2 linked regions of the Neurospora crassa OR74A genome follow. The protein of the gene in region 1 purifies or fractionates together with the protein of each later gene. This does not show direct contact. Links are inferred from orthologs where the notes say so. Each region holds a gene or a part of one and is shown on either strand. Other genes may lie near its edges.

Region 1 (3,752 bases):
GAGTGTAATTGTGACAATGGTGGGGCTGACCTGTGCCAGCGGTACAGACCGACGTCAGTCAATGTCGGAATTGAGCCTGAAATGTGTGTCGATGTTCAATATTGTAGGTTGAAGATTGTAATGCGATACCGATGCGGGTAGACGCGTAGATAGAGTCAAAGTTTTAAGAGGCCCCGCACCTCCTCCAGACGGGAATGAGATCAGACTAGGGCTTGCCGCACAAAGATACAACAAGCTGATGTATTTTTCTGTTCCTTGTCTAAATGGACAGTCGAACTAATAGTTCTGAATGCATTCCGGAACGCCAGGTTTACAATCGTCGAAGATGTCCTAGGGAGAAGAGAGAGGGGAAAAAAAAAAAGAGGAAAGTGTCTGCCATTTGGGTGGGGAAATTGGTTTAAATATTTCTGGGGAACTACTATGAATGAGCCCAAGGTAGCAGAGTTGCAGATTTGCAGCTCTTCCACTCCCAGGTCACAAAACTTCTCCTGTACACTCAAGGAAGGCGCTACGGACCCTTGTCATTCTGTCCCTTCAATGGCCAGTCATAGTATGTAGGTATGACTGGCCGAACGTCACATTTATCTTATTGATATCTTCAAGTTGTATTACTATTTCCTTCAGCTCTTTCATTCTCGCTCCAATCAAACATCCACTGCATTGGTACCCTATGTCCCTCTACACTTAGCCTGGGTTGAGGAGGATGACAGCATGCCTCACATATAGTCTCCTGACCCAAGAATCCCCTGAGGGCCGCTTCTAGCTTCAGGTCCCAGTGAGTAGCGTACCTACCTACACTACTTACTTGCGTCCATGTTTATTTTGCATGTTTGCATCTTCTTCCCTTTTGCATCCGAGTCACGAACCCCTGCCAACACTGTTGCCTTTTCAAAGAACTTCCATCTGTATATAAACAGGTCGTCCGACTTGCTTAGTTCTCTTTCCAAATTGACTGCTGGACAAAGAGGCTTTGTGTTGTGATGATCAGCTCAATCAATCGAATTCCGATGTGGGTCTAAAATCCGGGGCCTTGTGGGACCCCCAGGGCCGCGCCCGGGAAGGTTCAGTCCCACCCGCCGGCACAAGTCCGAGGACTGTCTTCAGTTCCTTCAAGTCTCCGCCCTTCTCTGTCACCGTTTGGATCCTCAGCCACAGTGGCGTGTAAGTCGACGTATTGTTACGTAAACTCGGTAACAAACCACTCGCTGGAGGCCCCGGCCTGTCTACCCATGCACGCAATTGGAGAAGTCGCTGCAAAGTTCCATCACAGCGCGCGGCGACGCGCACTGCAGCTTTGAACTTCCGTCGTCGTACTTCTCGCTCTTTTTCAAGCACATTCCATCATTCACTGCCAAACCATCCCTGCATCCACCTGCAAACTAATCCATCACCACCCACCCACCGTGATACCCAAATCCAAGCGACCTTTCTTGGAAAATTCTGTAACGTCAATCGGCATATTCAATATTAATATCTTGCAAATCAGTGGGCAATATGGCTGCTGTAAGCTCCCCACCTACCCCCCAACATCACAATACCTTGACGGAACACCAGCTGACCTCTTGTGCCCATGCCATAGCAGGTCGTTACCGTCGGAGAGAGTAAGGACCTCCGGGGTCTCAACCTCATCGCAGCGCACTCGCACATCCGCGGGTTGGGCGTCGATGCCGATACACTCGAGCCCAGGGTTGCCTCCCAAGGCCTTGTCGGCCAGGAGAAGGCGCGTAAGGCGGCTGCTGTCGTTCTTGAGATGATTAAGCAAGGGAAAATTGCCGGCCGTGCTGTGCTGATCGCCGGTCCGCCCAGGTTAGCTCGTCTTGCTGTGCCAGTCCTCATGCGCATACCGTTTCGTGTACTGACCTAGCTATGGAAAAACAACAGTACGGGAAAGACTGCTCTGGCCATGGGTATGGCCCAGTCCCTCGGCACCGACGTCCCTTTCACCACCCTTGCCGCTTCCGAAATCTACTCTCTAGAGATGTCCAAGACCGAGGCCCTCACCCAAGCATTCCGCAAGTCGATTGGTGTCAGGATCAAGGAAGAGAGTGAGATCATGGAGGGTGAGGTGGTGGAGATTCAGATCGACCGGAGCGTTACCGGCCACGCCAAGCAGGGCAAGCTTACGATCAAGACGACCGACATGGAAGCTATTTACGACATGGGCAGCAAGATGATCGATGCTATGACCAAGGAGCGCGTCATGGCCGGCGACATTATCTCGATAGACAAGTCATCTGGAAAGATTACCAAGCTGGGCCGATCGTACGCAAGGTCGCGCGACTACGATGCCATGGGCGTCGACACCAAGTTCCTGCAATGCCCCGATGGCGAGCTACAGAAGCGCAAGGAGGTCGTCCACACAGTAACGCTGCACGAGATCGACGTCATCAACTCGAGGACCCAAGGCTTCCTCGCCCTCTTCTCGGGCGACACGGGCGAGATCCGCAGCGAGATCCGCGACCAGATCAACACCAAGGTGGCCGAGTGGAAGGAAGAAGGCAAGGCCGAGATTGTGCCCGGTGTTCTGTTCATCGACGAGGTGCACATGCTCGACATCGAGTGCTTCTCGTACATCAACCGCGCACTCGAGTCCGACCTGGCCCCCATCGTCATCATGGCCAGCAACCGGGGCCACTCCAAGATCCGCGGCACCGACTACAAGAGCCCCCACGGCCTGCCGCTCGACTTCCTCGACCGCATTTCCATCATCAACACGCACTCGTACACGCCCGACGAGCTCAGACAGATTCTCACGATTCGCGCTCAGGAGGAGGAAGTCGACCTTACCCCCGACGCGCTCGCCCTGCTCACCAAGATCGGCGCCGAGGCCGGCCTCCGGTATGCGAGCAACCTCATCACGACGTCGCAGCTAATCTGCGCCAAGAGGAAGGCCAAGCAGGTCGGCGTTGAGGACGTCCAGCGCAGCTTCAAGCTGTTCTACGATCCTGCCAGGAGCGTCAAGTTCGTGCAGGAATCGGAGAAGAGGCTCATCGGCAGTGATGGCGTGGTCGATTTCCGTGTCAATGGCGGTGCTACGGGAGAGCCAGCGGCTACTGCGGCTGGTGGTGATAGCATGGATACCAGCAGCTAAACAGTCATGGGACAATGCGCTACAAGGATTAATGAATAATCTTGGGGTTATGATTTTGTTTCGTCTAGGCGTTTAATTGGGATGGCTCATCAAAAAGGCGTCTTTGTTATGATAACACTGTTTTCTTAAGCTTTATGTGTGCCTAGTCGTGGTTTTTTGTCATGTTACTGATTATGGTGATGGCATGGAGTCTGCAAATATCCGTTTGTATCATACAACGAATCGAATCAAAGTCGAAGCGTGGGGTAGCAGGAAAGGGCATAGTAGGGACGAATGACGACCAGCTGCTGAGGAGTTCCCAGCATGGTGATAAGGCTTTTGATTCTCTCGTCGCTTGGAACCGGGGGTATACTATCACACACAATCGTACAAAACCTAACCATGATGATCATACGAAGGCTGCAACCCTAGACCACTCCCCCTCCCCTCCGCCCACCGGCCTGAACTCAACCGCCTCCTTGAAGTATCCCGCATCCTGCCATGCCTTCATGGTGGGCCCGTCATACGGCCCTTGGCTTCCTCCTCCGTCTCTCCCATCTGTCCACCTAAACTCCCACATTTTGGGTTGTCCGTTTAGTGACGATGGCTGCTCTTCCTCCTTTTCAGGAACAGTAGGCTCCACCCAGGTCTCGCCCGTCTCTGCTCTATACTCTCTCACCAA
Region 2 (3,752 bases), about 1.1 Mb from region 1:
TGCCGATTGGAGGGCCAGTCACGGTGGTAGAGACGTCAGTCTGCTCGACGGTGCAGCCCATGGGACGGAGAACCTCAATGGCGAAGCGAGCATCACCCTGGAGCGACTTGGAGCCAATGTTGGGGACGGTGCAGGTAGTGCCAGTGATGGCGGCAATGGCGAGAGGGTAGGTGGCAGAGCTGGCATCGCTCTCGACGACATAGGTCTCGGGGTTCTTGTAGGTGCCCTGGGGGATATAGTAGGTGTTGGGATCCTCAGCAGATCGCTGAACTTGCACACCAAACGAAGCCATCATAGCGATGGTCATGTCGATGTAGGGCTGAGAGATGGGCTTACCGCCAACCAGGCGAAGGGTGACGGGCTCGCGGGCGTAGGGGGCGGCCATCAAGAGCGAGGAGACGTACTGGGACGAGATGGTGGCAGCAAGCTCCATAACACCGCCGGCAAGGCCGCCAGCAGCATCAACTTGCACGGGCAAACTGTGTTCCTTCTCAAGGTACTTGACACCGACGCCGTTGGCACGCAGGGCATCAACGAGAGCACCGATGGGTCTCTGCTTCATGCGGGCATTGCCAGTCAAAACAGTAGAGTTGACGTCGGAAGGGTTGCAAAGAGCCGCCACGGAGGTCAAGAACCGAGAAGCGGTTCCCGCATTGCCCAGATACAGAGGGGTCGAGGTAGCCTGCAACTTGCCACCGTTGCCCTTGACGACGAGCACATCGCCCTCTTCCCAAGAGAAGGAGGCACCCTGGAGCTGCGCGACGGCGTTGAGCATGACCTGGGTGTCGTCGGAATGGAGCAAGTTATGAATGCGGGTGGTACCCTCACCGAGAGCAGCCAGAATAAGGGCACGGTTGGAGATACTCTTGGATCCAGGGGGAGTGACGCTGACGTTGAGATCCTTGGGTACACCAGCAAAGACCCTGATGCAAGGCGAGAGAACAATGCGAATGGCGCGGTCCTCGACGACGCTGGCCTTGGGCTCATAGGTCTTTCCGATGGCGGAAAGTAGGACAATCTTCTTCTTGCGGCCCTCGTTCTTCTTGTCAACGGCCATCTTCTGGAGAAGCACATCAACTGGGCACTCCTTTCCGGCAGTAAGCTTGACGATGCGCTTGTCCTGCAGAGAGGTAGGCAGGTCGTAGCTGGCAATGCACTTGGAAAGACGAGCGACGGCGCTGGGGCGGAGGACGCCGAGGAAGCGGGCAAGCTCAGCTTCCTTGACCATGCCAATGGCAACCGCTTCGCCGTGGAGGACCTGAGGAGTCAGGATCGCCTCATAAGCATGACCAATGGAGTGTCCAAAGTTGAGCAAGTTGCGGAGTCCGCCTTCTCTCTCGTCCGACGAGACAACCTCGGCCTTGACGCGGGCCGAACCGAGAACGATGCGCTTGAGGATGTCGCGGATGGGGGCCAGACGGTCGGCCGACTTGTTCTTGGAGCGGACGGCCTCGAGGATGGCCTTTGCGTTCTCTTCGAGGGCGGTGAACTCGTTCTCGTCCCAAATGGCGGCGGTCTTGATGACCTCGGCCATGCCGTTGATGAACTCGCGCACGGGCAGTGTGTTGAGGAAGGTGAGGTCGATGTAGATGCGCTCGGGCTGCCAGAAGGCGCCAATCAGGTTCTTGCCCATGGGCACGTCAATGGCAGTCTTGCCGCCGATGGAGGAGTCGACCATGGCGAGGAGGGTGGTCGGGCACTGGACGAAGCGGACGCCGCGCATGAAGGTAGCGGCGACGTAGCCGATCATGTCGCCAATGACGCCGCCACCGAGGGCAATGATGACGGTGTCGCGAGTGCATTGGTGCGAGAGCATCCAGTCCTCGATCTCGGCCTTGGTGTCGCGGCCCTTGGAGTACTCGCCGGGAGGGATGGCATAGGTAAGAAGGCGGACATCTTGGGGAGCAGCCTTCTCGAAAACGGACTGGAAAGGGGGCACGTAGGTCTTGTAGAGGTTCGTGTCGGTGATGAGGATGTAGGTGGAGGACTTGATGTTCTGGAGGAGGTCCTGGGCGACAAAGTTCAGCCAGATGCCGTGGTCAATGATGATGTTGTCCTTGCCCAGGATGTTGATCCGGGTAGGATTAGAGATGGGCTCAGCCATGACGAAGGGCTTCTGGACCGTGACGGCAGCGACTGCAGTGACTGCGGACGGCGGTGCAGATTGATTAGGAGGTGGTTAGATTGAGAGCCGCATAAAGCCAAGGTGTATGGCGGCCACCTTGCGGGACGGTGGGGCAATCACTGGGTGTTTGAGAGTGGGAGATGGGATGTGTGTGTAAAGGATGTATCAACACGCCTCCCGCATACAGGAGCTTTGTCTTTGGTGGTGAGGGGAAAAAGACAACACGGCAGAGAGAGAAGCTGTGCTGTGCTGTGCTGGTTCGCCGTGACTCAGTTCTCCAGACAAGCATCATCCAAAAAATTGAGCGGATCCCTTGAGGCTCCTTCCCGCTTCCGAAAGCGGAGTGGAGGATGTCGTCAAGTACCGGGGCCGGGACTTATAAGTACCTTATTGGCGTACCTTAACTCAACCCTAACACCAAAGTTGAGTAGCCGAGGTCTTACTGTCCGCCAATCTCGGCCATAGTTTGCGGACAGAGGATGCCAATAAGATACAGAAAACCCTTTCGGTACTTCTCACACTCGGACCCTTTACTCCCCACAGATTCGCGGATGATGCCCCTCCTTTATTCTTCCCGTCCCTTCCACAACTTCAAGTCTCACAACAAAACCACTGCCTTGACTACCTCACTGCTTACAAGTGATTAGTTCTACTTGTGCACGATCTTTGGTTCCTCTTGGATCTGAGTAGCGGTTTTCTCCGCCGACGAGGATACCAGTTTGGCCAGTTTAGTCGTCGAACATACTTTTTTCGCTTTTCTGTGTCTACCTAACCCCTCACCTTTGTTTGCGCTTTGCAACGTCAGAACTATTGACACGCCATGCTCGGCGCCACTCATCGCTAAGGATGTCACGATATGAAGACGAATCACGGGAAGTAAAACATTGGGTATTGCCCGGCTGTAGCTTCATCCCATACCTTTCCTCCAAGTGAACAAGCTCCCACCACCCCCATCCTATTGCGCGATCTCGCGCCGTTCCGCTGATTTGCATTTCCCCGCGATGCTGCCTTCAGCCCTATGAATGATACGGCACGCTCATTATGTCCTTTCTGATCGCGAACCCTTGTCCTGACCACTCGCCATTCGTGACCACACACCATCCGTCATGCTTGAACGCGTACTGGCTCGCGAGTCTGGACAGCTCTTGCAAACGGCTCATAACAACCCAACGAGTATCCGTGAACGAGGAACGCGCGATCACACCCTACGTGGAGCTCCCATCAAAGTTCACAAGTAGAGCCGCAGGCTAGAGGTAGCTAAACAAAGCTCATCTCTACTCGCGTCTCTTGATTGGTTGGTAACCCATGAATGTATGTATCGGGCCTCGTCTCTAACGCCATTCACCACTGCATTGACCATAGACAGAAATGGCTAAACCGGCTATCTCCCGATTGTAAAAACCACCACGCCCGTTGGCCTAGACACTGATTCCCTTGAGATGATGTAGCATCAACGCCATCGGCTCATCCAGCTTGTGAACAAGTTCGAAGCCACCTTCTGTCCTTCTTCGGGGAGCATCGGGGGCTTGCAGACAAGGTCTAACTCAATGACTCGGTATTTTTTTCTTGCCTCAATGACCGAACACTAGGACTCCCTCCAAGAAGCCGGTGGTAGGTGGCTATATGA

Evidence for each region. Proteins that work in one complex are often made in the same cells at the same time.
Region 2: the proteins of NCU06854 (region 1) and aro-1 purify together in Saccharomyces cerevisiae (affinity purification with mass spectrometry; 3 studies listed by BioGRID). This does not show direct contact. The link is inferred for Neurospora crassa OR74A from reciprocal best matches to the Saccharomyces cerevisiae genes RVB2 and ARO1.

The regions. Positions count from the first base shown.
Region 1 is NC_026502.1:1,746,328-1,750,079, reverse strand, and holds NCU06854 (RuvB-like helicase 2), read left to right. Parts: upstream 1-1,265; 5' UTR 1,266-1,494; coding exon 1,495-1,503; intron 1,504-1,579; coding exon 1,580-1,806; intron 1,807-1,881; coding exon 1,882-3,091; 3' UTR 3,092-3,479; downstream 3,480-3,752. Other genes in the region: NCU06855 (hypothetical protein), read right to left, coding at 3,480-3,752. UniProt on the Saccharomyces cerevisiae protein: DNA helicase which participates in several chromatin remodeling complexes, including the SWR1 and the INO80 complexes.
Region 2 is NC_026502.1:2,891,059-2,894,810, reverse strand, and holds the start of aro-1 (pentafunctional AROM polypeptide), read right to left. Parts: upstream 2,407-3,752; 5' UTR 2,105-2,406; coding exon 1-2,104. UniProt on the Saccharomyces cerevisiae protein: The AROM polypeptide catalyzes 5 consecutive enzymatic reactions in prechorismate polyaromatic amino acid biosynthesis.